Linked DNA regions of Lytechinus pictus. The protein of the gene in region 3 interacts with the protein of the main gene of each other region in a pairwise test. Links are inferred from orthologs where the notes say so. Each region holds a gene or a part of one and is shown on either strand. Other genes may lie near its edges.

Region 1 (8,569 bases), on a different chromosome or scaffold from region 3:
ATGATGATGATCGTGTACCGTTATGTCCCCGTTACGTCTGGCTGCTTTACCCCTATTCAACACCTTTATCCACCCAGGCTTGATTGACTAACTCAAGATGCACACACCCGAAACATGTACGGAAACATTACGAAGATCCCCTTCTTTTAATTATATATAATACAATCTCACCTAAATCCAAAATAGCTTGATGGTATATTCCAGCTACTAAAATCCCTAAAATCCAGCTTGATAACAGGTCCTTTTAGTATTTTCCAAGGCTTTTCATTCCACATACGATAGATCCTCAGTCGGGCCAGCCGAAACACAACGCCACGCGCATTCATCTGTGTATCCCATTTACGTGCAAACTAAATAGGAAGAGTCGAACTATGTTTCATACGCAGAGAAGAGGCTTGGCTGGCTGGTAAAGTACACAAGTATGCATTGCTGATGGTGTAATATGTTGATTTCATCTTCCAATGTGTCTTATTCTGTTTGCTTATTATCGGCAATAGAATTTTGGTTTTAGTTTGGGAGCAGTCTCAAGTACATTAACATGATCATACGGATTTGTTCCCTTTTCGGTTATTGATTACTGTTCATCAATAGTCAAAGAGCCACTGGAGTGAAACTTTCAAAATATAATTCCATCGATTGTTACACTTCGGGACCACTATGACCACGCCCATTTTTTACCGCAAAAGTAAAGAACTTTCTTTTATTCTCCAAGTACTTTGCAAAAATTTTGCGTCAGAGCTTTACTTCAAGTAATGAGGTATGGCTACATGTTTTGAAAATGATAGAGACTGCAGTGGGGGTGAAAAGACGCCATCCATTGCCAGTGCCACACAGTGAAGCAGGAGCTAATAAGATGAAGTGAGCACCGTGGGTCCTCCTCCAAAAACTGATATTGTGCCATCTCTCCATGAAAGTGATAGGCCTAGGCCTACATGTATACCCCACCCCCGGTCTTTTGCATTAAGGACATTCTAGGAAAATTAATACATTATTTAGAAATGTGAACACTGGGGTACAAATGGAGACTTGGGGCCATGGACCTCAAAAAAATAAAAATAACGACCAAGAAAAAAAGGAGAAAATGAAAGAGAAAAGGGTAAAATCAGGGGCGGCGATCCTGGGGGGCTGGGGAACAGTGCCCCCCCCCCCCATTTTTTGAAGCACTGAAAAATGCCCTTTTTATGCAAGAAAAATGCCCCCTCACGAACGTGTACTGTGCCCCTTTCACCTAACGAGGACCCATTTTAGGTGTTACCAAGTGCCCTTTCTCGTATAAGTGCCAATTTTTTTTAATTGAAAATGCCCCCTCACGAACATGTTCTGTGCCCCTTCATCTGAGAATGACCCGTTTTGTGTGTGAGCAAGTGCCCCCTTGCCTTCTTGTAAGTGACCTATCTCGTATCAGTTCCCCCCCTTTTTTTTTACCAAAGAAAAATGCCACACACGAACGTGTTCTGTGCCCCTTTCACCTGAGAAGGACCCGTTTTATGTGTAAGCAAGTGCCACCTTTCTCGAATCAGTGCCCCTTTTTACCCAAGAAAGGTGCCCCTCACAAACGTGTTCTGTGCCCCTTTCACCTGAGAATGACCCATTTTAGGTGTTACCAAGTGCCCTTTCTCGTATAAGTGCCAATTTTTTATATTGAAAATGCCCCCATACGAACATGTTCTGTGCCCCTTTCACCTGAGAAGGACCCGTTTTGTGTGTGAGCAAGTGCCCCCCTGCCTTCTTTCTAATTGCCCTATCTCGTATCAGTTCCCCCTTTTTACTCAAGAAAAGTGCCCCACAAGAATGTGTTAGTGCCCCTTTCATTTGAGAAGGACCCATTTTATGTGTTATCGAGTGCCCCTTTGAAACAAGAAAACGATATTCACATTTTTATATGTTACTTCAAAACCTACGTGCCTTAAACTTCATGAGTCATGTGAGTGGGGTAGATGAGCAGAGGCGTAAAGATGGGGGGGGGGGGGCTCTTGCCCCTCCCTAAATTTTTCACGACCAATTTTTCTTTGTTTTAAGATAGTGCCCTTTTTAAAAGAAAATGTGCCCTTTTTTCCTGTGCCCCCCCCCCCCCCACTTTCACCTTTGCTCCACCGCCCCTGGGTGATGATAGTATTTTCTGAGTATCATGTCAACAGCTAGATCGCTCGTAGCCCTTTTTGCCACTGGCTTCCTCAAATGTTTGGCTCATTATGCTTCTGTTTGTTCAGCTAAAAAAAAATAAACCGGCCATCATGAAATGATCTTCTTTGAAAGATTTACATGTCAATAACAAAAATATTCTCCTTGTTTTGGGGAAACTTGGAATAAATTCCCAAAGAAAAGTAAGCTAGGTTATGCACTGATTTAATGAAGATGGCAGGGATCAGTATTTAGTCCTGGCGATGATGTAAGGTTTTGGACCATGATCGTACACTCAAATGGGGGAAAAGGTAATTATGAATAAAGAAATTAAATAGGTATGACGCCCACAAGAGGTGACCCCAATGAAAATCGCCCATTAATTTGAAAACTAAATCATTTAATATAAAACTATTAAAGTTGGCATAAAATACTATAACATGCAAATAATGTCTATCCGTCTATTTTTCTAAGCGCTTTGAGCTCAGAATACTGTATTATATAGCGGCCCGAAAACTTTTGTCATTTTTCCACTCCCCCGATTCCCAACTAGGCCCGAAGCATGGGCACCCCTGCATCCCACTGAATAGTGAACATGATTGAACTTATTTTCTGTACTAGACAAAGCCTACATTGTAGGTTCTTTACCGTCTTATAAAGTCTCCCCCATATCATTAATCAAACACAATACAATAAAGTCTTTGGAATATGAGAACTTCATCAAATCGGATGCAAAGCTAAATGACTTCTCAATTTCAGTTGGTGTCAGATTTAGTCACCTATCTCCTTTAATCTGGATGACATGGTACTTATTTTTCCTGCTGTGTTTTTATTTTTCTGGAGGGGTAGAAATCAAAAGTTAAGAAATAAAGAAAATAATCACCTTCCCCCTGTCTGAGCATCATATTTGATAGCGAATGATGTAATAGTTAAAATCAAACTATAAACCTTTAAAAAATAGCCTACCTCTCGTTGACAATGTAACGATGTCTGTGTTTATATTCCTAATTATTAATTTATCCAAGAAGAAACATATAGGGCAGATCTTCATCACTAAGACTTCCGAGAAAACACAAAATCAAACCATATTCCAGAAACTGCTACATTTCACGCTTGTAGCCGTGTCGTCTGTCAGACTCATATTCGCGACCCAGATTCATCAGCAAAAAAAATGTATCTCCGGCATTCACTTATTATTTACACTTCAGTCATCTATATTATGAAGTAGATGTTGTCTATGATACCACCATAATCCATTGGTACTATCCACGGAGACCGTGGTATCGATGCGGGATGATAATGAATTTTGAAAAAGAAAAAAAAAGTACAAGGGCATCCAGTCTGGCGGGAGAAAGGGCACGCGCATGCGTAATGATGGTATTCATTTAGCAGCATCCGGCGACGTTCCAAAGCATCGGATATTGGTATACAATGTGAGAAGATGTCCACTTCCTTTCGTTTAAGATTTGAAACTAAATAGGATGGGGCCACGCTTTCTTTGTTTGACAGAGTTAACGAATGAATACGCTTACTCCAAACCAAAAAATAAATTTTGAAAGTATATCTCAACTTGGCCCAATAATAATATTGTATGACGTCAGGATGTGGCATGTACAATATACATAGAAACTTAAGTATGCCAAGTATAATTTTATAAAGGAACAAAAAGGACACTTGCAGGCCTGTGTATAAACACAATATTTTTACATGTATTTGCAAATTAAAGTAGGGTGGCCTTTACTTTACCATGCATGTTCAGAATAAGATGGGTAACGTTCGTATGACGTCACTGTGTTATCAATAACTTCCTCAATTTTGAATAACTCTACTCAACGTGAGCTAGCGCCGAAGGAAAGGTGTGGTATATAGGCCTACCCATAGTGAACTTAAAAATACATCAAAAGTTCAGAACCTACCTCATCAATCATCATTCTGAATGCCAGGATAGATATTCAAAACATTCGTAGTCTATATCAGAGGCAGTGTACCCAATGAAGTTACTATGTTGAGGCAGGGGCGGCGACATTAATATTTTGATTGGGGGCGGGAGCAAAACTACCATAAAGGTATATAACGTCATATTTTTTTTCTAATATTAATTATCAGAGGGGTATTACACTGCCAAAACCGCTTTCTTTCTCCCCCCCCCATTTATTTCCCCCCTTTCCCTCTATTTTCCTTTTCCCACTTCTTGACAAATCATAGAGGGTGGTCGCCCCATGCCTACTCCTAGTGTCACCGCCCCAAAACCGATATCGTGAAACTTTAATAATAACCATATCGTGAACCAATATATTGCTTAGTGTAATCATGTCCACGGTGTAACCTTATCTAACACTAACCCAATTCGGCGATTCTATATATAAGGCCAAATATGAATTATATCATTGTGACTCGAAAACATTCGTTAACATAACGTATAATTCAAGTCAAGTTTCCCATGAATTTAAGATGATTTGTATATCAATCCAAAAAGCAAACAGCATGAAATTTGTCGAAACTTCCTTTTTTTTATCCAAAATGATCACACTGAAGCGGGCATTGGTGTCCCAATATATTTTTGCTACCGTTTCCATCGGTTGAAATTTGAAGTGTTACATCTTTTCATGAAAATCTGGCCCTGATATCCAAATATATAGGCCTAAGGATATTTGGTGAAAAATCTCGCCTGATATAAAACAGTTTAAAATTTTGAAACAAATTTCATATTGAAGGACGAGGGTGAGGCCGCGGCTTGGAAAGTGGTGTCAGGAAAAAATAGGCCTAATCCGAGTAATTTTTATATCAGACATTATGACAGGATGGAGAAGATCGATGACTGAATGTTGATTAAATTAATGATATTATGAATGATTAGATGACCCAGAACTTTATTTATTTATTTGTTTATTTATTTATCTATCTATTTAATTATTTATTTATTTATCTATTTATTTGTCTCTTTATTAATCCATTTATTTACTAATTCATTCATTTATTTTCTATTCCTATCTATTTTTTGGGGTGGGGCTTAGTTCATATTTCTTCCTCCTAAATTCAATACTTATATAGCGCCTATTATTTTTTTTCAAAGCGTTTTCATTTATCCTTCCCGTTTCCCTTTTTTAAAAAAAATAAATAAATGAGGTGGTCGTCTGACTCGTCTCCTTCCCCCTGTGACGTCTCTCCTGGGTAAAAACAGGCACAAAATGTCTCTTTTAAGACAAAATACAGTTTGACCCCCCCCCCCGAGCGTTTAAATTACACAAAAATTATTATGTTGTAATAACATGGTGCTGGACTGACACCACACATTTTACACAGATGTAAAATGACGGACACTCTCCTCTTTGTGCAGTGGACCAGTCGATCTGAAGCATGATTCTATATCCTCTTTCACTTTTCTGGACATACAAGAATCCCCTTTATTCGCACAATGCTCCTCCATCCGCTTTATTTATTTTAATAGTAGTTTTTTAATTGCCGGTTAAACGTACTCTCATGCTTTCATGATGCATGAAAACAAGGGAACGGGAAGATTTCGAACAAGTTTTTCCGTGACCTCATCGGGTCACAAAATCTGAGCTTAATGGAATGTTGACAAACTCCTGTCTCCATAGTTACCACTACTCGATCTTGTATCATGTGAGAAAGTGGTAGTAATCTGATACTTTACGACCCACAGGGGGCCAGCAGTGCGGACCCTGAAGCGAAGGATGAGGTAGTAGGTCCACGGTAAAACCGACGACTCTTATTTCGTTGACCCTGGATGACCCGAGGGGACCATCCCTGGTGCCTGGTATAAGGACACGCCCACCTCACTAACTTGACAGTGTACATGAGTGCACTTTTATCGTTATTACATGTATTAGGGGTTCACTTCTGGAGGTGTGATGACGTATGTACTTTTGTTTGGTTTTGTTTGTTTCTTTTGCTCTGTGTTATAGCATGGCAGTGTCGAATGGAAGTTTGACACAAAGATATACATCCAAGAATACAAATCTTTTTAACATCCATAAAGCCATTAGGTGTCACGGAAGAAATAATTCAATATTATCATTGATAACAGGCAGCTGTGTAGCCTATACTAGTTTTCTCTTTTTAAAAGGATTCTCTTTCAACTAATTTATATAATCAAGGTAATTGTATTTTATAGGCATATTCAAGTCTTCATATTGAGGATATATTTTCAGAATGTTGATATTTACGATTTTATCCAGCTATTTAGAAATCTTACTGTAAATAGCACAACCTGGGTAATCCTCAAAGGAAATAGCTAAATCGCCGACTTTATTTCATGCCTGGGCAGGGTTGCATACCGTTTTGAAAAGAAATGAATAATACTTGGCTATTAATGGTAGGATCATTAATAACCCCTTCCATGGACGATGGAGATAATGGAAGATCTTTTGTGAGGCAAACTCACAGAACCTGAACAAAGAACAGGAAGCGAATTGAAGCAAAAGATCAACTTTAGAAGTCAAAAGACAAATTTTCCGGTCTGTCACCTTTTCGTTCTTTCATCATAGCTCTATTTAATACGTTAACGACTATAAACGCTCGAGTCGGATAATACAGTAAAAGATGAAAGCATATAGCAAGTTACAACTGTCCTAATCAGTATCAGAAAATTTCTGAAAATGTAGTCATGTCATTATTGCATAGGAACACTGTCTTCGCCTGTCTAATGTTTATATCAAGAGTTAGCACATGACACATTTAAAAACGATCTCGAATTAATCCTTGTGGAAATGTGGGGGGGGGGGGATAGAGTGGTAATATATTCAAACTTATTTTGAAAAGTCAGAAAAGGCTAAAATAAGGCAGGCCTGGGTCGCATTCTGCATTCGATAAGTCTTATCACTCAAGTTCATTGAACATTGTCTTGAATTAATAGCAGCAATACATTTTTCATTTTGTTCTATTTTTATATCCTAAAATCTATCAAGATTTACGGTCTAGTTTCTGTAATTTAAGATATAATCATGAAAACTTATAGAATAATCGTACTATGGTATCATCGTGCACGATATTATTTCTAATATTGCTCTTATTTCTGCCCCTATGAAAAGCACGTATAAAATTCGACATTTTATTTTCCGTTTGAATGTTCTATCATAGCATCATTCCCCTCTCTACTCAAGAATTAACTGTCTAATTCTGATGATTAGTGAGAAATAATGAGCATCACGAGAAAACCACATGCTCATGCCATTCGCGCAGGGACATTTTGTACTTCATGCAAATTAAGGAATTATGCATATAATTTCAGTGTCACTTGTAATTACAAGAATGCAATAATTTATTAACCTTTCTTTGATTTGGACAATGAACATCTTTATGCACGCGTTCTCCCTTGTGGATTATGGTTTCTTTTATCCCTTAAATTGTTTTTCATTATTGCATTATGAAATGACCAATACCCGAACGTAGCCTAATCACCAATAATTTTATATAAAAATATAGCATTAATTAAGTTAACAAGTGGACTTGTTTCAAGAAAATAAAGATGTCAAATTTCTTAATGAGCTATAAACTGCAATCTCCTCCATGAATTGCATTACGATGACACACTTTGTAATTTAGGAAACATGCAGGTGGTGAGATAATAATTATAAAATACATGTTGATATAAGCTGCCTTAATGATTTAATTCTGAATTAGGAATTATAATGGGAACAATGCCTCGCATTTGAAAATAGTACGTTTGCAATCCTCTACCTGATGTACAAGCATTTTCTTTGCGGACACCACTCCACTCTCCACCCCAGTTTATCTAATCCACTGGCGCCATATAGTAAATTTTGACAGAGGAATGAACTTGACATGATGTCCTACATTATAGGAAATGCAGCCATCGACTACTAGTATATGAATACGAAAAAGACTGTTAAAAATAGTGAATTTCCATAGGCCTATGACTGAGGACTAGCTGTAATTCCCCTTTAAAGTTTTGTGCAGTGTTAAAATCGCGATTAACGAAAAGAATCATGCCAAAATACGTCGGTAATAACAGATTACAGGGGGTAGTCACCCTGTGATTTTTCAATAAGTAGAAAAAATATATATATAAGTGGGAAACGGAGGAAAGAAGAATGAAGAGTATTAGGATAGTTCTGGATCTAGATCCCCAAAAAGGAATTAAATGAAAGAAAAAAAAGGGAAAAGGAGGAACACAATCAGAAAGAGCTAGGAGACTGGGTCAAGTAACTCTAAATGATCTCTGTTATTCTATCAAGAGGAGAAAGAGTACGTCACGTTAGGATAGCCCCCTTATCAAAATACTACCGCCCCCTTGTTAAAAAGTAAGATGAAATCAAAATGACAGTATTAAAGAGCATTATCACGATAATGGCGTGTATACTGGATCCATACAAAGACCACAATGCATGCACTGCTCAATGCGTAGAAAAATTATGATCACAGATTTTGTCTTATGAGCTGTATTATCAACAATTTTTAGTATCAC
Region 2 (8,203 bases), on a different chromosome or scaffold from region 3:
TCCATTCATGTGTGCATAGTGAATGTGGAAACTCGGTGAAATTTCCAATTAGTGTGCAAAATGTCTTTAGTATCTCTCTTTGTATTCAAAGTTTACCACTTCAAATTTTGACAATGCCGGTATAAGATGAATAAATACTCTTTTATATGGAGACCAAATAACTATCTTATACCCCTTTCATAAACCTATCTTCCAATTAGCCGCCTAATAGTAATGCGGATAATTCAATAAAAATTGCGTTCACAAACTCCGAAAATTATCGGCATTATTTTTACGAGCGCCCGTCCTGAAAAAGGCGGATAATCGTCATGACAACTGGACACGCCCCCTCAGATGCGATGTGTTGGAAAAGGGTGACCTTGTGACCGCACCATGGCAATTATCCGCATTATTTGGAAATACGTTCATAAACTCAAAATCTTGTCCCGATGCTGCTATTATGCGGATAATTGCAGCATTAAAAAAATGCGGATAACTCTGGTCCTCCTCCGATTTTACGACCAAATTATGCTGCTGTTAGCCGCATAATTGGGTTTATGAAAGGGGTATAAGCTAATTACACTGAGCCCTACACAGTGACTTGTCATAGTTTTTCAGGTGGAGGGTGAGACATTTTAATACCTCTTTCATGACTTCAATTTTCTTGTTCAGAGTTGTAGTTTCTTGAATAAGATGATCAGCAGCACTGTCGTGTTCTTTCAACCTTTCAACCAGCCTTCTTGCATCACACAGTACTTGATCAATGGACAATGTCATCATGCTACGATCTAGGAGGTGACACAAGATAATTTGACGTTAAAATTTTGCAAAAATTTAAAATAGCTTAATAAACTAAGGGCAGGATAATCGTCGTTACTTTGCCTTTGTCATTTAGTCAAGTTAGAGGTATGGGCAGAGCCAACACTACGAGGGTCACATATCTGAAGACTAATACCTTGGTCACATTTGTTCTACGGCGGCCGTACGGCGAGTCGAAAACAGCCGTTTTATTCATTTTAATTCAAACCACCTACATGTATATGTCGTTGGTACAACAAATGTTAAAACAGCTGTTTTCGACTCGCCGTACGGCCGCCGTAGAACAAATGTGACCAAGGTATCGACTATTAACCCTAAAAGGACTGTCGTGTTCTTTCAACCTTCTAAATGCCTTCTTGCACCAATGGACATCATGGTCATCATGCTGTGATCTGAGGGCGATACAAGGCAATACTCGACATTAAATTCACAGTTCAACAAAACTATCATTGTCGCTCTTAGAAGGGTTACATGAACATGCAGATCTACACATCCGGGTCCCGTCTAACAAACAGTTGCGATTAATCCGATCAACCACAACCATGGAACGCCAGCAACATCAACATCTAAAATAATTCGTTTGTAAAAAAAAAAAAAATCTGATAATTTCGATGAATATTCATACATTCATCATTGTTGATTCAGTGTGCTCTTCTTTGTCTACAAAACGACATTGTGAAAGATTCCTGTTCGACCTGTTGGAAAAATTATGATATCGATGGATTTCCATATAACAGTAGTCGAGGTTTATCTGGGCCCAATCTTTACAAAGAGTTACGATTGATCCAATCAATCGTAAGTCTATTGGAATCCATCAGTGTCATATTTTTTCTACCTATAGGAAATCTATAAAATGTCCTTGGTAACGACGGCAAACACACCTAATTGTCAAGAAATCAATGAATTTTAATATTGAAAATGCATCATTTCTAGAAATATTTTTGAACAGTAGTTGAGTTTGATCAGATCTATCGCAAATCTTTGTAAGACGGGGCCCATCGCAACTCTTTGTAAGTGTGTACATTGTATACCTACGCTCCGTACTGTAGTTAGTTTAAGTCATTGATCACAAATTTTGACACGAAAATGTAGATCCCTTAGATTAAAGCTAAATGACAGTAGTTGCAGTAAAATACTGATTTCGTGAGAAAGTCTGTAAAACCAAGGTTAAGTATTACTATATCATCGTGGATCTAGATCTGGTACAGTTACATAAACTGAACTTTGTGAAATCATGATATCTAAGCTAAAAAACTATCACACTGAAGATCGCCAACACAGATCAGTAGAGGCGCACGGCCAATATTGGAGACTGTCTCCAATGTGGGAGATTATCTCCAATATCAGAGACTTTTGTAAAGAATCTAGGTATCCAATTTCAGAGACAGTCTCCAGTTTTGGAGTCCAATTTCCTTTGTTTACATTTGCTGCAAAAGGATTAACTTGGCGGCAAATAAAAATGTGATAAGCAGATTCCTCATGAAAAATTACCCCTTTTCACCGTCTACTTTAAAAATTCACCGTCTACTTTTGTTTTGATAAGGATTTTTGTTGTCAATCACACACAAAACAAATGGGCTTCTGACCTCAGTGAGACAAAATTTTGGGTGGAAAAAATCATGCTTTTGTTGGTGTTGTTTCTTTTGTCCTTTTGCAAAGCAAGTCTCCAATGTGGGAGATTGTCTCCCTTATTGGAGAGAGTCTCCCATATTGGCCGTGCGCCTCTACTGCAGATAGGCACACGTGTGACAGTGTATTAATATTATTGCTGGAATAAAGACCTAACGGAAGTGACAGAATCCGCGCTTATTTTGCTTATTTCTCAGCAAGCACACAATTTCTTCCAGAATCCTTTGGCACATATTTTTTATTCATACAGACATTTTGGTGATCATTATATTAATTTCTGTAAAAAGTCATTTTGAGATCATCCCCACAACTGGAATTTATCTTTAACATCGGCCTGACTGTGTGAAGTCAGTTTGGTCTTTGGATTAATTCTGATTCTTGAAGTCTTCCAATATTGGAAGTCTCAGCCTCAGGCTGCTGAACTTCTGAATTTGGTAGAGTAATATTAGGATTCATACTATCAGAATTAGATTTTTCAAATGCAAAATACTGTACATGCACTAGTATTCAACCCGGCAGTATTCAACCCATTTAAACTTAAAGAACTTCCCCAAATATTCAAAAATAGGGAATTTATCTTAATTTCAGATTTTTCACGAGAGGATAAAGACAGTTTACTAGTGAGATTTATTTCGTCAAAATCATCACTGATGAAATAAATCTCATTGGCAATCTCTCTTTTTATCTACTCTTCAAAGTGGGAACCACCTAAGAAAATTTTCCTGAATTATAGTTTATACGTGACTATACATGCGATCCCGGCATGCGATGTGCCTCAGCTCCGCCTCCTCCGCCCCATTCGATATACCGGTGAAAAGCCAAGGTGTCTCGACCCGCGAGGCGCGGCGTGTAACTAGCCGTAGGCGTAGCGTACCGTACTACTACTACCGGTACTACGTCTACGGTACCTACCGCGCCGGTACTACTACTAGCGTAGCCGGCTGTCGTCACTCGATTAGCAATATGAATTACAAATTTAGGAATATACAAGTGAACAAGATGTCAATGAAATTCATTCAGAAAAAACGAGAGATACTCACAATTCTTTTACCTGCTTTGGGAAAAAGAAAGGAAAGGCATAAAATGCAAAACAAATCCTGTCACTTCCGACTTCAATTTTGGCTTATCTCTCTGATCTTGGCATGCAGTTCACCGGAGATGGCGCTGTTCGTGAATTCGCGACGCGACATCGACATGGTTCCGTGGCTTGGCCGAGCTCGTAGCGTTCCATCCATCATGAAGTCGGTCCGGGATTCGATACCATAAGTTCATAAGTTCATTTTATTTGTCTTCCAACTTTGAGTTTGAATACATGACAAACATATAAGTGTGTATGAAACAATGAGCAGAGTACATGATAAAACATACAGGTATATATAAAACAGAGTATGCAGAAAACATTGTTTTTAAATACATTATACAGCTTAAGACAGAAAAGAAATAATTTTAAAGGAAGACGAGGAGACCTAAGTGAAGCAATGCTTGTAAATTAAGGTTCCTCATTACGAATTCAAAGAACATTGGATAAACAACAAAGAAATGGCAATATAATATAATATGATAACTAAAGAGAGAGGCGGGGAGAGAAGAGGAACACATTTATGTACAAAAGGGAGTACACAAAAGGGGACATATAAGGACAGAGACCAGCCAGGCCCGGGAAAGGGGGGGGGGGGGTGATTATACTGATTATATTGATTATACTTACTTAACATCCCCCCTTTCCCGGAAAAACACGGATGCCCGTGTTCAACTTGATTCATTAACATTGCTCTATAAAGGTATAGATATACAATAAATTGATAAAAGTGCTGCATAATCTATTATGTTTCTGGGAAAAGTATACACTTATCATGTAGTTCTTGACTTTGAAATGTGAATAAAATCTGTTTCAGGTGCATCTTTTTTTTTTTTTTATGGATATGCAAGGCTACTAATACCAACCAATTGGTCCATCAACCGATTAATCACTCACTCAGACAATCAATCATTAAAAAATGTTATTAGTTAATCAATGTCACTGAACTGATACACCAATCAACAGATAAATCATGACTTAATAAAACAAAACAAGTAGCCTAAACCTTTGATCAATCAGGCTAGTTAATCAATCCATCTATCAAATCAGCCAATGAAGCCACTAATCAACCATTCAGACACTATGATCAATCAATCATTCGTTCAATTCATCAATCAGTCAACCAACCAATCGGTCAATCAACCAATCAATCAACCGACAAACAAATCAATCAATTAACCAACCAACTGACAAACAAGCAAATCAATCAATCAACCAACCAACCAACTGAAACACAAACAAACAAATCAATCAATCAACCAACCAATCAATAAATCAACCAACCAACTGACAAACAAACATAATAAATCAATAAATCAACCAACCAATCTACTGACAAACCAATCAACCAACCAATCAATAAATCAATCAATCAACCAACCAATCAATAAATCAATCAATCAATCCATATATCCATCAATCCATCCACTCATCTATCAATCAATCAACCAACCAATCAATCAACAACTAATCATTCAATCTATATATCAATCAATCAGTTTTCACTTTTTGGTTTGGGCCGGAGCTCATAAAAAACATATACTTCTTTAAAACAGTCAATTAAACTTGACAAAAAAGCTTTTAATTTGAGATGCATTCCCTTTTCTCTCTAAATAAAGTACCGTGAATACAAAATCCATAAAAAGTGCACTTATTTTCTTCAATTTACCATGATTCAGTATTTTTCATGAGCAATATACTACAAGGTAATAATACTCACTGTAACAACAATCGATAATAATGAAAGTACTAAAAATAGAAATTAGAGAAATAATGATAATGATAATAATAAAAGTGACAATTACAGTAACAATGTTATATTGATGATATCATATATTATCTTTATATATAAAAATAATGACTATCAAATCACCATCATTATCATTTATAATACTAGAAGAAAAGAAAAATAAAAAAAACCTTCAAAACAGTTTAGAAGTATCCTAATTCATTATGTATTTCATTTTGTAATTTCTAACTCGTATCAAACTCTGGGTAAAAACTCCTTTTTTGACTTAAGATTACTTTAACCAGTTCAGCTCAAAACAGATCCTTGTTAGATCAAATTTATCTAAAATTGAGTTGCCCAGCTAATACACCCCCCCCCAAAAAAAAAAAATTAATTAATCAAATAAAATAAATAAATAAATACAAAATAAGAAAAGGGATATACACTAAGTACTTAATGCAAGGCTTGCAAAATGCACCTTTCTGGCAAGTTAGTAAGAAAGCATCCTAATATTATGCAAAATAAATAAGACTTTAGAACAGAACTTGAAAAGACGAAACTAGTGCACAAACATGTACAGAAAAAAATCGCAGGCAGAGTTGATGAACAGTTAAAAGTAAAAATATGAGATGTTAGCGAATCCAGGGTTCACAAAGATTCACGATTAATCTTACTCATGATTTTCACGATTAATTGTTTGGTAGTGGATCGTATTACCGAACACTTTTCATGAATTCAATCATATCAAACACATTACTCTCATAAAATTCACCAAACTTCCACCATAAATACACAATTACCTACAAAATATAAATATGTAAAAATTTTGCCAAAATCGTTTGTCCCTTTTATGATATAAGCTTCCAATCGGACCCCTCTTCGCATGTTAAATATTTTGGTCACTTGAAAAAGGTATCGTATTACCGAACGTGTGTTTTCTATGGGAAAAGTTGTGAAAAAAACAAAATCACTGATGAGCTATTTTGAACATATTTTATTATTTTTAGAATATTAAGACTTTGAAAATGTGTTTTTGACAATTTTTCATCATCTTTCTATTCAAGTTCCCTTTGAAAGGATGTTACAAAATTTTGAGCTAATGAAATTATTTTCTGACGCGTACGATGTGCGCGTTCGGTAATACAAGGCCGGTCGGTAATACAATCACTCACTATACATGTAATCAATGCAATCAACGGTAAAAAAAAAAAGTTCTACGATGATTGCTATTGTTGTGTTACAGGCCTCAGAAGAAATAGCATAGGCCTACTTTGTGCCAGAAAAAAAAAGGAGATAGATTATCAAAATACAATGTAGGGAGAAAAAAAAAAACTAATTAGTGGCAGATACGAGTAAATATGTGCAGCATAAATGGATATTGGATTTTAAAAAAAGGTTAAAGCCTCTCTGGAAATTAGTGAAAATTATATATTGGGCTACGTGGCAAGTAGACCAACTAGACCAATTAGACGAAACTGGTTGTAGACCAAGATTACACCAAGTTGGATCCGACCAAAGGGGACGTAAATAGAGCTGGCGTAGACTTAATTGAAAATTACTGTTCTGTCTGCCATATTGGGGAATTTTATCATTATGAACACAAACTGCAGATTTTATGTCCATGATAAGATTGCAAAATAGCCTACCGTTGACATGCTAACTGAAAAATATCATTCTTTAGCTCCTTAAGAAAGAAAAATACATGCGGTGCTAGAATTACTTCTGGCGCAGTCACATTTTGTCTACTATGGCCGTACAGTGAGTCAAAAACGGCCTTTTACAATTTTTGTACCAGCTTCATGTATGTGGTTCGAATAGAAATCCGCAAAACACCCGTTTCCTACTCATCATGCGGACACGATACGGGAAATGTGACTGCAGAGGTAATGACCTATAAATAGGACTGCTATACCATTGAAATCAATAACATGATCAACATATTTACCTAAAATACATACAGAATAACATTTCATGGTAAAGAGAAATCAGTACGATATATTATCAGTTTTCCACTATGAAAATACATATAAAATAAATATTTAACCTTCTATAAAGCAGGTACTGCAGATTTAGTACAAATGTTGTCAAATATATACATAATTAGATACCTAGCTTTAAAAACATCATTGATATTTTTTTTTTTAAAGATGGAATATATACAACCATTTTCTCTGGAGAAGACATACTTTGGAAAGACATTTGTGTTTTTGGAATACATTAAGAGGAATGGAATACATGGAGTTATGCAATGCATTTGCTACAATGCTTACGAATATATCTGGTAAAAAAACAGATTTTCTATAAAAAATAAGGCATGTTTGATCAAGTTCCATGACATTTGCTCTGTGACAATTGCCCCGTCACACATGACAAAGCTAAACATAAAACCTGGGCCCCATTTCATAAAAAGTTGCTATGATAGCAACTCTTGCTGGAAAGTCAACTTTCATTGGAAGAGCCAATCAGGAAGCAGAAGTTCTACTGTTGTCATGGTAAATGATATCCCAGCAAGAGTTGCGATCATATCAACTGTTTATCAAATGGGGCCCTGATCTTCAAAAATACACACCTTAATATTAACCTTCATATCAGTCAGAACCAGAACCTTATATATCGTCAGAGATATTAGCAGACGAGAAACTGTCGCAGCAGAAAATTTTGTATTTTTTATCATTACACTCAGTGTGCTCAAAACTTAGTGAGCCCTACCAGAAATTGAACAAATTTAAAATGTTTAAGTTCTGCCATGTTTTACATGGAGCGTTGTGGCCCAGTGGCTAAGTCTTGAAAACAGAGGGTCGTGGGTTCAAATCCCAACCATGGCGTAGTTTCCTTCAGCAAAGTATTCATCCACATTGTGCTGCACTCAAGTCAACCCAGGTGAAGTGAATGGGTACCTGGCAGGAATTTATTCCTTGAAATGCATGTGTGCTGTCATCTTAGTAATTACGGCTGCCAAGCTACAGCTG
Region 3 (8,592 bases):
TTGGGCGGTAATTATTAACATCTAATTTGTCACCCTTTTTAAACAAAGGAATGACTTTTGCAATTTTCATGCTCTCGGGGACAATGCCGTTAAGAAGTGACAGATTGAATATATGAGTTAGGGGATCCGCAATGGACGATATTACCCCCTTAAGAAGAAAATTATTGATGTCATCATGTCCTGTACTTTTTTTAGAACTAAAATCAGAAACAATATTAATTATCTCCTGATTATAAGTTGGAGCGAGAAACATTGAACTAGAATTTGATGGGCCTAAAAATTCAGAAAAGTGTTTTGTTGCGGGAGGAACATTACTTGCAAGATTTTCCCCAATTGAAGAAAAGTGATTATTCAGGATACTACAAATTTGGTGAGAATCTTCAAAAATAACATCGCCAGATCTAATTTTTGTAATATTAGATTTGTTATTTGTTATATTCATTGCTTGTTTTAAAACTTTCCATGTATTTTGCATATCGCGCTTGTAAAGTTGTAACTGATTAGTAAAGTATCTTTTCTTTTCTAAACGTATAATTTTTGTCAATGTATTTTTGTAACAAGTATATTTAAGTTTGGATTGCTCAGAGCGTTTCATTTTGTATTTATAATATAAATTATTCTTTCTATTATCGAACGCAAGAGCGATTTAGAAATCCATGGGAGCTTCGGTGATTTTTTGTAGTTAAATGTCTTATCTCTAAGTTTTGGAATATGGGTGTCAAAGTGTAAATTAAAAATGTTCATAAAGTTTTCAAAGGACAAGTTAACGTCATTATTATCAAAGACACAAGACCAATCAACATCGTCTAAACTAGCACCCAGACGAGCTATATTTTCGTGTGTTATTCTACGTTTTAATGGACGGCTATATATGTTATTGAATCTGTCTTTTAAAGAGAAATTAGTCGAGACAGGGAAGTGATCAGTGATATCAGAGAGTAATATGAAGGAATCGGGTGGGGGAAGAACGTTACAGAAAATATTATCAATAAGCGAAGCGGATTCATTGACTACGCGTGTGGGTTTAGATATTAAAGGTAAGTAAGAAGCGGATAAAAATATTTCCAAAAAATCTTGTGTAACATTATTTTGTTTTAATAAATCAATATTAAAATCGCCCATTATAAAGCAATTTTTACTATCAAAAATTGGATTTTTAACCAAGTCTGAGATATGATCTAGAAATGATTTGATATTCGAACTCGGAGGCCTGTATATAACACCTATGATAATGTTTTTGCTGTTAGGGATAGTAATTTCAATAAAAAGAGATTCAATTGTATCAGACATGCTGTTAAGCTCGTCTCGAACTACATAATCATAAGATTGTGAAACATATAACGCAACGCCCCCACCCACCCTATTTTGTCTGTTGTTAACTAAAAGATCATAACCATCGAGAGCGAATGGAAGGCTTGAATCATGAGAAAGCCATGTTTCGGTTAAACCTACTACTGAAAATGTTTGCATGGGGGGATTATCTAAAAGTAACCGTAATTCATCAAAGTGTTTGTTAATGCTCCTAATATTAAAGTGTATAAGAGAAAAAGAGGAGTTATCAAATTCCTTAACAACATTATTAAACTGGTTATGGGTGACGTATTCAGAACATGGACCTGGAAATTGGTTATCAGTGTCAAAATCATAATTCAACTCTTGCATGTGATGATGAATTAAATTTGTCTGTAACATGATTTTCAAAGGAAGTAACATAGGGATTTATGTTTGATTCACTTTCTACTAACGTTGGTCTAAACAAGTCAAGAAAGTCATCATCGTTAATTGTATTGAATGGTGTATCTACCGAATTTGCCATATTAAAGAAAAATCAGAAAACGCATTTTTTTTTTTAGATGACATTAAAATGTCTATAGCAGGAACAGTGAAATCTGAAATACAAGTCCCGGTCAGAAACAGATAAACAACAGTCACGTGCATGAATGAGAAGAGGTACTGAAGCAAAAACGAACAGAAAGGGAACTTACAACATACAAAGCACGATACACAAAGGAGGTTCAAGGAACCTATGAGCATGATGAGAGAAGAGGCAAAGGAAGTCCGCTTATTGTGTATTGAAGGATGAACAAGCCGTAGTTTTGAGCATGTGCATTGTCCGTTGCTTGAGCCCACGAAGGCACCTGTAGAGGGCAGTAGAGAGCAAAGTAATGGTAAATGAAAATGACGTATCATGTAAGGGAGGTTCAGGCGAGAACCCGATTTCACAAAACGAAAATGTATACTTTTTTTAGAAATAACACCCTGTTATAAGTATGGAGCAGAAATGAATTAATATAAATCATACGCATTCAAAAGCAAAGTGTTTAATCATATCTTAAGAAGATGGAAAAATAAGAACTCTGACTTTGAAAACAAAGTTAAGGTCAGATGTAAATGGATAAAGTGGAAAAAAGCTTTGCATTTAAATAATCAAAAAGTATCTCCTTGAAATCAAATATTTGTGTATATTTTGGTTCTAGCATTACTTATACAGAGTATGGAATCATGTGTGAAAAAGCTTACCCACACTGTTAAGATGCTGTTTTGATGGGTACTGTGAATATATAGTCGGGTGTGAGCGGAGGCCGCAATACTTCCAACTGAATGAGCGATTTGTATAATCGTTGAAGACTTCATCGAGAAGGAATTAGTAGATTTTAATTATTTTCATTATCTCTGCCATAATTCCATTTACTTAAATTGTTTTGTTGGTGTTTTTATTTTTAATATGGTATCTTTTAGCATTGAATGTTTTTTCATGAGTAAAAGCAAAAAATTGTCAACCCAAGTAAGGGGATTCGTATTATTAATAGGATAGCTTGTAATTTTATCAAATCCTTTTATTGTGGGCTGCAAAGGTTTTGGTGCCTTTGAAAGACATGAATCCTTCTGTTAGAATTAATATTGTTCTGTCAAGCACACAATTTGACTTGTTCATGGAATCAATGTCCCCTTGATAATAGGATTCATGTCTTTCAAATGCACCATAACCTTTGTTGCACATAATAAAAGGATATGAATAAATTGCAAGCTCTTCCATTAATAATGGATATCTCCTTGCTTAGGTTGACAATTTTTTTTCTTACCTAATATGAAAGAATATTCAATGCTAAAAGATAATACAATTTAAGTAAACATATTTAAATGAAACAAGGTGGTTTTCGAACCACCTTGTCTCGCCTGATTTCGCGATAATTAAAATATGCAATATAATCTTTTGACCCCATCATCCTCATGAATACACATGTATTATTACCCAAGAATCATAATTATGTGCCAAGTGTGAACATGATTGATGCAGAAATAAAGAAATCAGAGCAAGTTAAACAAAACCTTCAAAAAAGGATGGACATGAACACATATCATTTGACCTTTTGACCGCTAGACGACCTTCGACCTCATTATTCTCATGGAAAAATATGTAAAATTATCCAATGATAATATTTACCAAGTATGAACATAATTGATGTAGAAATAAAGAAATGAGAGAAAATTGAATAAGAACTAGCAAGAAGTCATCTGAAATTACGATGCAGACGTCATAGATAATTTCACCCCTGCATTTCTTGTTTGTTATCTGCTTTGTTTTGTTTTATGATGGTGGGCCCCAACCAAGTCTGCGCACCTAACAATTTGATTTTGAGTTAACTTAACTGGGTGGCGTAGCTAGGATTTTTTTCCTGGGGGGGCACTGGGGGGTCCTTGCTTTTTCAGGGGGGGCACCATTTTTCCGGTGTGTGTATGTGTCACAAGGGCGGATCCGGCTTTCGCCAATAGGGGACGGGGCCCGAAATTATCTTCACCTATATTTTCCCCGATCAGTCCCTTCTCAGTTTTATTCTTATAAAACAACATAAACATGAAATAATCTCATAAGCCTTATAAAAAGTGCGAGCGCGAAGCGCGAGCGATTTTTTTTAACTTTCATGTATTTTGTCCTGAAAATGTGATATTCTGGGCAATGTTATGTGTGATCCTGAAGAAGATTCGTATGTAACTAGATGGTTACTGCGAACGCCAAGCGTTAGCAGAAATTTTTATTAACTGTTCTAGCATTATCGAAAAGGGACCTGTTAAGGAAGATGGTATATATTTCAATAATGCGAGCGCGAAGCGCGAGCAAATTTTTTTGACATTCCGACCTAAAAAAAATTGTCATTCTAAGCACTTTTTGTATTAATAAATGGGATAGTTATGTAACTAAACAATTGATGCGAGCGCGAAGTGCGAGAGGAAGAAAATTGAGATTTTAGACCTAAAAGCGGGACACTATATTCATATTTTGTAAATCATGAATAGGATATAGTTAATTGGGTATCATTAATAATGCGATCGTGAAGCGTGAGCAGACAATTATTGATATTTTGATGTGAAACTGGATAATTTAAGTACATTTTAAATAAAGAACATGCAGGCTATCGCGCATGTTTTAGATTTAGACCTAGAATCTGGGCATTCTGAATACATTTGTTTAATGGAACATTATGGAATACACGTAGCCGGGACACGTAGACAATATGAACTTGGCAAATCAAACAATGTGACCACGCAGCGTGAGCTTAAAATGCTGATATGTAGACCATAAAATGGACATTTTACAGAGCACTTAAATTTGTAAATGAAAAAAAATAATGAAAGCTCGATGTCCGAGCTAAAATATGTTTTGTATATTGACTTCAAAACTTGCTCCATATCAGCCTATTGAGCAAGATATGAATCTCATCGAACAGGCAATTCTGGCGCGAAGCGCAAGAAAAAAATTTATAAAGTAACATGAAGGATTTTTTTTTTGCAAGTCTTCCCCTCACATTATATCATTCACTCGTCTTCCTCCTCTTATTTCCTCTTCTTTTTTTTCTTCTGTCTTTCTTCTTCTTTTCCTTTTTTCTTTTCTTCTTTCTCCCTTTTTTTTTTGCTCTGCCATTTTTTTTCAGGGGGGGCACCTGGGGGGGCACACCAAATCTCAGGGGGGGCACGTGCCCCCCCAGGCCCCCCCGTAGCTACGCCACTGCACTGGCGTTGTGGCGTGCGCCTGTAATCCAAGCTATGTGGGGAAGTTACAAATTGATGCAGAGGTTCGAGCCCTGGTCACGTCTTTCGGATGGTGACGTTAAAGGTCGGTCCCAGACGTAAATAATCATATCTGATTGATACACGTCTGACAAAACTCAACTACACACACACACACACGATGATCAATATTGTCTAATTTTCTGGCATTTGGCGCAAGCCTGTTTTTGAACCCCTCACAAAAACGTCTTGTGTTCGCTCAAGCATGAACGGAACTATTTTCTTTAAAAAAAGCATTAGAAAGATAAGACATCAGAGCATCTATTAACATCAAAATATAGACATCATAATTTGAAACAAAATTTTGATAGACTTTTCTAAACTGTCCCGTTTTTTTAATACGCACTTTTTAGTTACTCGCCCTCTACGGCCTAGAGTAGGAGACAAATTCTCCGTTGTGAAATTCCAATTACAATAATTTGTCATCGAAATGGCGTCCCGTTTCTAGGAAAAAACCGGTTACCAACAGGAGTAACGAGCCTCATCTTGTTCGTTTTCGTGGAGAATCTTACCCAGTTTCGGATAGAGATATGAGGTGACATTCTACTAGAACATAATGGGAGAGGAATATATTAAGAAAACCCAGGATTCTCTTGGGAAAATCATAAAAAAACCACCGATGACAGAGAAGCTGCTGAAGAAACCTCCATTCAGATTTCTACACGACGTTTTCACAGAGGTAAACTAAAACAAGTTGGATCTCGATTCTATCGAACGTGTAATTGTAAAGTGCCAATGGATTGAATGTCAATGCAATTTAACTTCCACATGCAGTGATTCTGTGCACATGAAGAAATTACGATGCAGACGTCATACTCATAGATAATTTCACCCCTGCATTTCTTGTTTGTTATCTGCTTTGTTTTGTTTTATGATGGTGGGCCCCAACCAAGTCTGCGCACCTAACAATTTGATTTTGAGTTAAGATTTAACATGAAATTCTTCTTATTTCACAAAATCTTTCAGTTAATAATGTTCCTTAGGCCTATATTATTATTAGTAAGTGTCCCAAATTTCTCATTGAAAAATGAAAGAAAATAAAGGATTTTCTTGAAAAAACCTTGGGCAGTCATTTTCAGATTGAAAAAAAAAATGGTATGGTAGTGGATCGTAGAACTATTACCGAACACCTTTCATGAATTCAATCATATCAAACACACTATTCTCATAAACTTCACCAAACTTTCACCATGAATACACAATTACCTACAAAATATAAATATGTAAACATTTTGCCGAAATCGTTTGTCCTATTTACGATATTAGCTTCCAATCGGACCCCTCTTCGCATGTGAAATATTTTGGTCACTTGAAAAAGGTATCGTATTACCGAACGTGTGTTTTCTATGGGAAAAGTTGAGAAAACAACAAAATCACTGATGCGCTATTTTGACCATATCTTATTATTTTTCGAATATTAAGACTTTGAAATTGTGTTTTTGACAATTTTTCATCATCTTTCTATTCAAGTTCTCTTTGAAAGGATGTTGCAAAATTTTGAGCGTATGGAATTATTTTCTGATGCGTATGATGCGCACGTTCGGTAATACAAGACCGGTCGGTAATACAATCACTCACTATACCGGTATGGCAGTGTATCCTATTGCCGGACACCTTTATTTCAGTGCTTTAAAAATGACAACTAGAGGAAATACAATCAAGAAAAAAATCACACTTGCTATTCCAAATATTATGAAAACTATGAATATGATAAAATTATTTTCTATTTACCAACCATTTTCTTTGCATCGCAGTTGACGCATACCCCTCCACGAAAAACAATTATTTTCGTACGCGACAAATTACATCATGATTCCGGACGCGCGCCGGACGGGTAAAGATATCCTTGATTATAATGATGTAAGAACAAATTTGTGTGATTTTTTTCTTCTTATTTCATATCATGAGTAAATTCTAATTTTTTAATTGCTTTTTATATTGAATATGAGCAGATGTTGGTAATAAATTTGTGTTTGATAACTTATTCATTTTTTCTTGTTAGCTGCATGTTCCATGGCACTTTCCAATAATATATGCTCGCGTTCGTATCGTGATGCTCATCAAGTTCTATCGATGCGCTGCCGATCGACGGCTCTACTCACGGTAAACCTCCCGCACAGGTACCTCGAGAACTAGCCGTCGACGATCACCCACAATACACCACACCTCATCATTCGATCGGAGGAGTGGACGAGATTGAAATTCGGCAAATCAGGCCCATATTTCCGTTATAAAATATATCAATTGTTAATGCAAAACTATGTTATATGATATTTTAAGCATTTTCTGTCATTTTAGAGATAAATAAGGTAAAAGTTTGATTTTTTCGCCTTGTTTTTGCAATCTTGTTTTACAACCAATGTATGTATTGCTATGTGAAATTGAATTGCGGAAGTCTTACAGTACGAAATTGTTTTTGAACGCAGTAATATGCGCGTCCGGAATCATAATAGTGTCCGGTAATACAATACGTGACTATACCCCATGTCTGCGCACTCATTCACTTTGCACACGATTCAGGGATTTTGATGAGAAAGACTGCATTTCGTGGCCGTCACATGAAATGCCCTAAATTCATTATTTTCCATTATTTTGAGTCGGATTTTTTAATGAATACCTGTCTATGTATTGCATGTGTAAAGTCTGTGTTCGTTGCGTATCTTCTTTTACTAGAATCGCGCAGATATGCGAGTGCGCAGACAAGGGGGACTGCGCAGACTTGGGGGAACTTGCCATATAGGTTCTAGACAGGGTGACCAGATTTTACAAAATGAAATACGGAACAATCGACGAGTGGATCGACCAAGCTGGATGGACCGAGCCAGGTCTTAATAAAAAAAAATATCAGCAAAGAAGGCTACACAATATTGGGCCTGTAAACAAATTGTAATGAAAAGGAAGGGAGGGTGAACAAAAGATGAAGGAGAGAAAGGAAAAGAAGAAAGAAAGCAGATGAAATGTGTGAAAGAAAAAATGAAGGAGAAAGGAAAACAGAGTAAAAAAAAAGGAGGAAGAAAGAAAAAAATGTTTCCGTCATTCTTTGAAAAAGAGGAAGGAAGGGAAAGATTAAAGAATAAGGGAAAATAATTGGAAGGAAAAATGAAAATAAAGAATGAAAGAAAGAATGAAAGAGAGGGAGGAAAGAATGAAGGGGAAAAAGTAAAGAACATGAAGGAAATAAGAAAAAAAATAAAGAAAGTTAGAATAAAAGAAGGATGAATTAAAGAATGAATAAAAGAAAAAGGTTTCTGTCTTTCTTTGAAATGAATAAAGAAAGAAAGAAAAAGAAATGAAGGGAAGATGAATGAATGTGTGAAAGAAAAAATAAAGGAGAGAAAGGAAAACAGAAAGTAAGAAAAAAGGAGGAAGAAAGAAAAATGTTTGTACTTCATTCTTTGAAAGAAGAAAAAACAGGAAGGGAGGAAGGAAGGGAAAGATTAAAGAATAAGGGAAAATTAGAAGGAAAAAAGAAAATAAAGAATGAAAGAGAGGGAGGAAAGAATGAAGGGAGGAGAGAATGAAAAA
Region 4 (7,783 bases), about 7.8 Mb from region 3:
TTCTCTGAACATGATGGTGTTGATGTCGGTGAAATGCAGTTCTGAAGACTTTGCTTTAGTTTTGCACTTTGTTTGTCTACATTACTGAGTAAACTTGACAGATTCGAAGGGGACATAGAGTGTGATCCTTCCAACATTACTATCTTTGTTTCAAGAGGTGACAACTTTCTACCTGTCCTGTGAGCCAAAGCCTGAGCTCGGAGATAGTCTTCTGGTGATGGAGGTTCTCCCAATGTTACAGCTCCCTTTGAAGCCCGAATCTGACGGAAAATGTCACTTTGTTGCCTGATGCGATACTCCAGATCTGAAACCTGGGCTTGAAGCCAAGTCCATCTGGTTGCAATAGCTGACCTATCTATAGCCCATTTCCATGATGCTCTTCTGTGACTGTGAATAAGAAAGGAAAGGGGGGGGGGAGAAAGCAACATCAATGAATTTGAAATTATTCAACGCTATAAAACTAAAATCTTTCCAACATTTGTTCTTTTGGACAAGATAAAAACACAGGCAAATGAGGCAGCTATGCCTATTTGAATCTATTGGGAGTTTTGGGACCATAAAAATTTGTTCCAACTAGGGGGAATTTGAATAACAGTTGATAATAATCTGGTTTACCAATGCTGCGAATATTTTACTTAAAGTGTACCTGTAGATGTCCATAAAATTGTTTCCAAATTCAATGGGAGTTCTCATCTTTTCATTCATGTGACCATACTCACAATACGTGTACGCCTACAATATCGCATGCCCTATAATTCCAAGAGCCAAAATTTTACAATCTCCTTAGCTCTTTGAAATATGTACTCACAGAGGCATCTTGTGAAATGAACGGGATGCCTGGGTTTGTGGTAAGCTGTCATCTCCTTCATCACAACTTTCTCCACCTGAGCTGCTATCGGTGACGTCTGAATCTATGGTGCTTTCAACATGACCAAGGCCTGCTCGAAGCCTTCCAGTGACAGATTTTACTTCACGATATGCTTGTTTCCCTTCTCGCAAGTGCTGAGAAATATGTGTACTTGGCTTAGTTCTTTTTCCTGCTGGTAACCATGATGGTCTTATCGAATGTCTTTGCCGGTCTGAAGAAGAGTTTGTATGTAGAGGACAAGTATGGCTATGACTTGAACTACTTCTAGGAAGAACGCCAGGTCTACTACCCGTCTGAAGACGATTCCTCCGGCACTCTTCACAAGTAACGTTGCTACTTCCAGCAGAATTTGCAGCTTCTTTGCAGGATTGTTTTGATTCTACAAAGGAACCTATTTGTTGATATATCCGAGATCCAACGTGACATGTCTGTAATCTCCGTAACTTTTCCATCAAATACTTTGCACGATGTTCTTGTTTCGACTGTTTATGAATCAAAATGATAGCTTCTTTCTTTCCCTCAGACATCTGGTCATTATCATTCACAACCTTGAATACAGATTTTTCAACCTGCTTCACTTCTGCTTTCATAAATCTAGGTTTCCTGTCACCTCCTACTTCTAGCTTATCAACAACATTAACGGACTTGAATTTCTCCTTTTCAACAATGTTGCTTGCTCCACTACATTTTTCTGCAGTAGTGGCAGAAAGATCCACACTACTTTCATCTGAGTCGCTCTCATTGTCTGACTTCGGATCAAGACAGTCATCAACGGCTTGTTCAAGACTTGTATCTGTTGTCAGTGCATTAGAGTGTGACAGACTTAATGAACTATCCATGTCATTCGATAGAGAACTGCTTGACGTATCGCTAGTATCGAGCTCCACATGCTCATCGATATCACCATTATCTCGTATATTGATATTTTCAATGTGAGTAGCGACAGAGTGTTTTGGACCCGTTGGACTGGGACTTCCAGTAGTTGATATTGTTAGAGGCGGCATTTTGGATGTTGGTGGAGTAGAAGGGTGATTATCGTTCAACAGGTCTAGGTCTACCTCTTTCTGTGCCAAGGGTGCGGCAGAGTCGTTCATCGTTTTCAATATGCTTTTCTTTGAATGTTTTTCACCATTCGCGAGTAGATCTAGGTTTAGATCCAGGCCTGAGCCGATGGTGGAAATTAATGAATTTAACTTGTTTTTTATCGGGCCGTTACAGTGGTTTGATTGCAATTCCTGATAATTTTTTCCCTCTGAAATTGTCAGTGTTTCTCCACCCTTGTGATTATTATTCTCAAGAAAGTGGGTGTGAATGGTGAAACAAGTTGGCGATACAGTGGGCTCGTGGTTTCTCAACAGAGTGGTGGGACTCGAACCTGGAGAATAATGCTTGCCTACACCACCGGGTACTGCCGGAGAATGACCATTTGCCAATGAGGGCAAGTCTGGGCTTGTTGGCTGATTTGGATTTGCTTGCAGGCCACCACTGCTTCCCGGGTTAGCAGGCGAAGCTGGCAACTTGAAGGAGCCTGTATGAGCCGCGGCATCAGTCAGTGCCGGAGCCATTGCAGCCATACATAGCCTCAGCGGGAACTGTGACCACATGCGACGGGAAGCGAAGCGCTATGCGGACAGGGTACCGTGGGAACGGCACCACTGTACGGCGTCACACTTGCCATTGATTGGAGAACATGACTAATTAAAGCTTTCGAAGACGACCCGTCCAACGAGATAAAAAATTGTTTTGTATTTTAAATACTAGGATAACAATTAACATATGTTTACAATAGCACAAATGTTGCAATACCAAAACACAAATAATGCTATAGTATAGAGATATGTGTTTGTTCAACCCGCTCTCTTCATAAACATCGGTCCATCCAAAAAAAGCCGCAGGTGAGGCAGGCGATAATGGAAACAATAACAGAGGCCAGGCACAGGCCGAACGATTACCACACGTGACAGACACCAGATCAACGTACGTATAGCTATTTCCCGCGCTTAGGCCGGGAAGGTGGTCTCCATCAATATTTACGAGTATCGTTTTCCGTCTTCAGTGACCGACAAGAGGATCAGTTTTAGACGTCAAATTGAAAACAACGTTGCACTGACGAATGTTTGAACGGAACGTTTCGCAAACTGAGAATCATAACATGGACGGTAATGAGAAGCAACACCACGTGACCCCTGGACAGGTTCCACGCACGTTCGTGAAACAAGCGATCGGACTATGCATGCGGGTTACACCCATTATTTTCCGAATTGATCAACATATTTCCTTGCTCTTGTCAAAATTTAACATCCTAACGTATACTCCTCATGGGTAATCAATGAATCCAACAATCACACACATCACATTATTCATCATTGACTTCCATGGCCAACCTACGACGTCGAAAAAAGTATCGCATAATATGGCGACGTGCTCAGGCATTGATCTCCATTCTCACAACAAAAAAATGCAGGCGACTTCATTAACATCTGCCTCTACGTCAATTGGTCTACCCCCTATAGGCGGAATTGCGTGATTGGCTGTTTAGAGCTATTCGGTTGGTCGGAAAAATACCCTGTAAAAATCTTATAGTAAATAATTATTAATTATTTTTCCTCGCTCTTGCATAGTATTTCACCCCTAAATTGACTCCATCAATTCGTTTTTTTATGTAACAATACATCTTCATGCATGAAAAGGTGCAAATTAATGAAATTTTATCTTAAAAAATATTTCGCATAAAGACGTAAATACGGGGAGGGAAAATGCGAGATTAAAGAGCCATCAAGTTCGCGCTCTATCGATATGAAGTCAAACTTTCGCAAAATAGCACGGAACAAAATCAGTTTTATTACGAAAAGTAAGCATTATTATGTGATATAAAGCATTATATCAATTCAAGGATAGAAAATCTATGCTTAAAATTGATTCGAACGAAGTATAGGGATTTAGTCCTAACTAATAGAAGATACGGTGGAAAGACTTAAGTGCTAAAAAGGGAGGAATCATTTCATGTTTCGATCGCATTATCCGGGATCATAATTTAATATAGTCCCGAAACTTTGAATTTTTATATCAGAATTCGATGTTTCCCCACTCGATCTTGTACTCTTATTTCTGGCAGTATAATTGGGAACAAGGGAATTTTCGAATATAGCATTTTTATGATTTTATTATCTAAGGAATAAATTTATGTTATGCCAATGCGTAGTACCATAATAGCTCTATGATACCACCCTGTATTTTTTTTTTTTTGGTCTTTTTGTTAGTGGGTGTCTTTTTTTTCCGTACAGTTGACATCATTACAACAACGGGAAATTAGCGGAAAACTGCGCGCATGGGGAATGCAAACTCTGTCTCACGAGTCACGACATTGCTCTGCAGCTGAGCCCTGAGGTGCCGAACCGTGGATCTGACTCCACACATTTTTCTGAAATGTGGTCGGTATCATGCATTATATTTTTTGTAGCCCTAGCATATATGTTTTGTATACCCTCATTGACAATGAAGTGATTTCCCCCCTTTTTTATGTTGTTGCTATAGACAAACTTTAATTCTGAACAATCTTTCCCATGCAGGTTCGTCTTTCACCGTGAACACGCAATTAAGCCATAGGGTCCTACTCAGAAAGTTTCTTTTTTAGTAGAGGTCTATATATGTACTAGTAGGCCTAATGTTTTTTTTTTCCAACTGTTTTTTCGCTTTCTTGTTTTGTCTTCGGGAAGTTTAGTCCAATTATGCAGATCGTACATCTTCCCTTCCCCTAGGTGCTGTTTGCACTGATACCAAATACAAAAGTGGTATAGGCCTAAGTGTAAATCTTGATTTGATTTGATTTAGAACAGTAAAACCTACATTTTTTCAAGTTATTCTCTTATATTCTGTACAGTGTAGTTTAGGCCTAAGTTTAGTTTTATCTCTTTACTTGGGAAAAAGAGATAAGTTACACAATGAATGGGTAATCCCGACAAAACATGATTTGAACAGATGAATAAGAATTAAACAAAATGACCGTGCAAATTTCATCGCAATCGGACAAGGTATATGACAAAGTTATTGTTTTAAAGATCATGTGCACTATGCATGTCTTCATGCCAACTGATGACGTCATATTCCGGTTATGTTTATTAAAATTTTGTCATCCAAAATCGGGGGAACTTAAAAAAAGAATTGACAACTGATTTAGTGCACTGTTGCTGTTACTTATTTTACTACTAGGAGACATGGTCATACACACTGGTATGAAAATATGAAATAATGATGATTTCATGTATTAATATCAGTCCCATCAGTTCATTTGCCCACCTTATGAATATTCATGACGATCGATGTGCATATAAATAACCGAACGGATATCTTCGTTATTTTCTATCAGATTTTGATAGATTTTCAGCATTTTTCTAAATTGAAGTTTGTCGAGATAGTATACAGCCTACTAAGTCATGTTCATTAATTGCAATGGGTGTCGATTGCATTGGCGTAAATCCGTGACCAGTGTTGTAGTCAAGGCTCAAACCGGGCCAAGGCCAAGACTTTAATACCCAAGGCCAAGGCTTCAATACCCAAGGCCAAGGCATGGAAACCCAAGGCCAAGGCATTTCAAACTTTCGATAATATGGAACAATGAGCTAACAATTAATGCTTAGGCGGCAGACATGTCACACAGGGAAAATGTATAAAAGGTGTGAACGAGTGAACTGAGCGAGCAAAACTTTGACCCTTGTAAATGTACATGTAAAACAAAAATAATTTCATGATAGATTTAGACATAGGCCCTAATAATAAATGATAATATAGTTATATACCTTTGTATATTTAATACATTATATTTCTATAGGCGATTTACATCAAAATAATTATTATTACCATGGCATCCTGACATGCCCATTCTCAACGTATGTCTTTCTCCACTCCCTGGGACAGGGGCTGCAGAACGTATTTTTGTTGGGGGGTCAAAGCCAAAAGGGGTACTTAATTGTCAAAATGGGCCTTTTGGTGCAAACAGATATTTTCAAAATGAGATTATCAACTGCATGAAGTAGTTGTGTGATTTGTAGAAATTAAGTCGAGTAAAGCCTTTTTAAAGTGATTTCTAATTGATAAGATAGATATTTTGATTTAGGCTTTTACTTTTCCACGAGAAAGAGCAGCGAGCAAGCGGTTTTGAAAAAAAAATCAATTCTGAAGTTGTGCAACTCGATTGTTTTGGTCAATAATGGCACTATTCCGTGTTAAAAGGGCACCCTTGCGAGATGTTGCCAGTGCGAACCACGAGCTCAAACTTTTGGACATTATTTTCGTGTAATAAGACATGAAAATTAAATATTCTGAGCTGTTTTTGTAATCATGAAAAAGATGTGTATCTAACTAAAGAATTAACGCAAGCGCGAAGCGCGAGCTGAAATTTTTAATATACTGAGCAGAAAAGGAAGCTGTTAACATGGTTAAGGACATGTATTCATTTTAGTGACTCCTAAATAGGATAATAACTCTACAATCAAATAATGCGAGTGCATTATTTGTGATACTCCAACCTGAAAACTGGACATTCTAAACATTTTTTTTGTAAACGGGAACAGACTGAGTACCTTACTTTACAATAACTGATGCGAGTGCAGAACGCGAGCCAAAAATTTGTGATATTCCAATCTGAAAACTAGACATTCTAAACATTTTTTGTAACCATGAACAGGATAAGTACCGTACTTATTATTGATGCAAACACAATGCAAAATTTGGTGATTTTCAAACCTAAAATGTATTATGTTTTCATGTAGAAAAGGTATTTCTTTTTGAAAAATGGCACATTTCATTTGGAAAATAAGGCATTTTCGATTTTTGAAAAGGGGCATTTTTTTCCTACAGAGAATTTTCCGGGGGGGGGGGCAAGATAGCACAAAGCGCAAGTTGAAATTTTCAAATGCTGACCTGAAAATGAGTCATTTTTAGGACTCTTGTCAGTTTTCACGGTTTTTATGCTTACAACCACTTTTAACTTTCAATTCTCATTTCTTGTATCTTCTACACTTATTTTACCTCAAAAACCGGAATAAAGAATACAAACAAAATGAAGTTATATTCAAAAGGATATGAAATAAACGGAGCGCACCCCATACCCTTAGTTGGGGGAGCGTAAATCTTAATTATTTCTTTAAAAAAAATAGAGTTCCATATTACTAGTAAACCATATTGACTTAAAAACAAATAACCACCACATTTTACACACTTCTGATCGTCTCCAACAGGCCGTTCCCGATACTCCCCTTCTAGCATACAGACGCCCACCGAATCTCAGGGACCTCATTGTTCGTGCTGAAGTGCCCTGCCTCACTAACCATTCTTCTACCATACAGCATGGCACCTTCAAATGCACCAGCAACAGGTGCATCATATGTGAAATACACCTTCACGAGGGCGATACTTTCACCAGCAACTCTACCAGCCTGTCTCACAAAATCAAGGGCAACATCACATGCACTACCACTAATGTTGTATATCTCATCACTTGCAGATCGAGTTTGTAGGGTACAATACATAGGGGAAACCAAGACCACAATCAAGAAACGATTCTACGGGCACAGATCCACCGTCAACACAGCAAAGCTGGACACTCCAGTTGGCCGCCATTTTAACCTCCCCAACCACTCCATCACTGACATGATGCTACAGGGCATCGAATCTTTAGGTACCCGTCCTGACTCAGTCCGTACTAGCAGGGAGAAGCTCTGGATGAGACGACTTCGCACCACCCAACCTCATGGCCTGAACATCCAAGAGGGGAACGACTGATTTTTCTTTCCTATCCACTATCAATTTATATATACATATAATTTTTCCCCTCAGCTCTTTTGAATAGTTACATTATAGTTTCTTACTCTACTTTCCTCCCATATCTCATACAAGCTCAGCTCCAATTTTTCCTTC

What was found.
Region 1: the proteins of TRAF3-interacting protein 1-like (region 3) and spectrin beta chain-like interact in a two-hybrid assay, tested with the Homo sapiens proteins (2 studies listed by BioGRID and IntAct). The link is inferred for Lytechinus pictus from reciprocal best matches to the Homo sapiens genes TRAF3IP1 and SPTBN1.
Region 2: the proteins of TRAF3-interacting protein 1-like (region 3) and FGFR1 oncogene partner 2 homolog interact in a two-hybrid assay, tested with the Homo sapiens proteins (2 studies listed by IntAct). The link is inferred for Lytechinus pictus from reciprocal best matches to the Homo sapiens genes TRAF3IP1 and FGFR1OP2.
Region 4: the proteins of TRAF3-interacting protein 1-like (region 3) and KAT8 regulatory NSL complex subunit 1-like interact in a two-hybrid assay, tested with the Homo sapiens proteins (2 studies listed by IntAct). The link is inferred for Lytechinus pictus from reciprocal best matches to the Homo sapiens genes TRAF3IP1 and KANSL1.

The regions. Positions count from the first base shown.
Region 1 is NC_087251.1:20,135,047-20,143,615, forward strand, and holds the start of spectrin beta chain-like, read right to left. Parts: upstream 3,380-8,569; 5' UTR 3,088-3,379; intron 559-3,087; exon of another isoform or gene 172-558; intron 1-171. UniProt on the Homo sapiens protein: Fodrin, which seems to be involved in secretion, interacts with calmodulin in a calcium-dependent manner and is thus candidate for the calcium-dependent movement of the cytoskeleton at the membrane.
Region 2 is NC_087253.1:9,977,619-9,985,821, forward strand, and holds the start of FGFR1 oncogene partner 2 homolog, read right to left. Parts: upstream 3,591-8,203; 5' UTR 3,468-3,590; intron 768-3,467; 5' UTR 760-767; coding exon 622-759; intron 1-621. UniProt on the Homo sapiens protein: May be involved in wound healing pathway.
Region 3 is NC_087247.1:57,288,026-57,296,617, forward strand, and holds the start of TRAF3-interacting protein 1-like, read left to right. Parts: upstream 1-5,452; 5' UTR 5,453-5,623; coding exon 5,624-5,746; intron 5,747-8,592.
Region 4 is NC_087247.1:49,525,765-49,533,547, reverse strand, and holds the start of KAT8 regulatory NSL complex subunit 1-like, read right to left. Parts: upstream 3,384-7,783; 5' UTR 2,473-3,383; coding exon 809-2,472; intron 388-808; coding exon 1-387. UniProt on the Homo sapiens protein: Non-catalytic component of the NSL histone acetyltransferase complex, a multiprotein complex that mediates histone H4 acetylation at 'Lys-5'- and 'Lys-8' (H4K5ac and H4K8ac) at transcription start sites and promotes transcription initiation.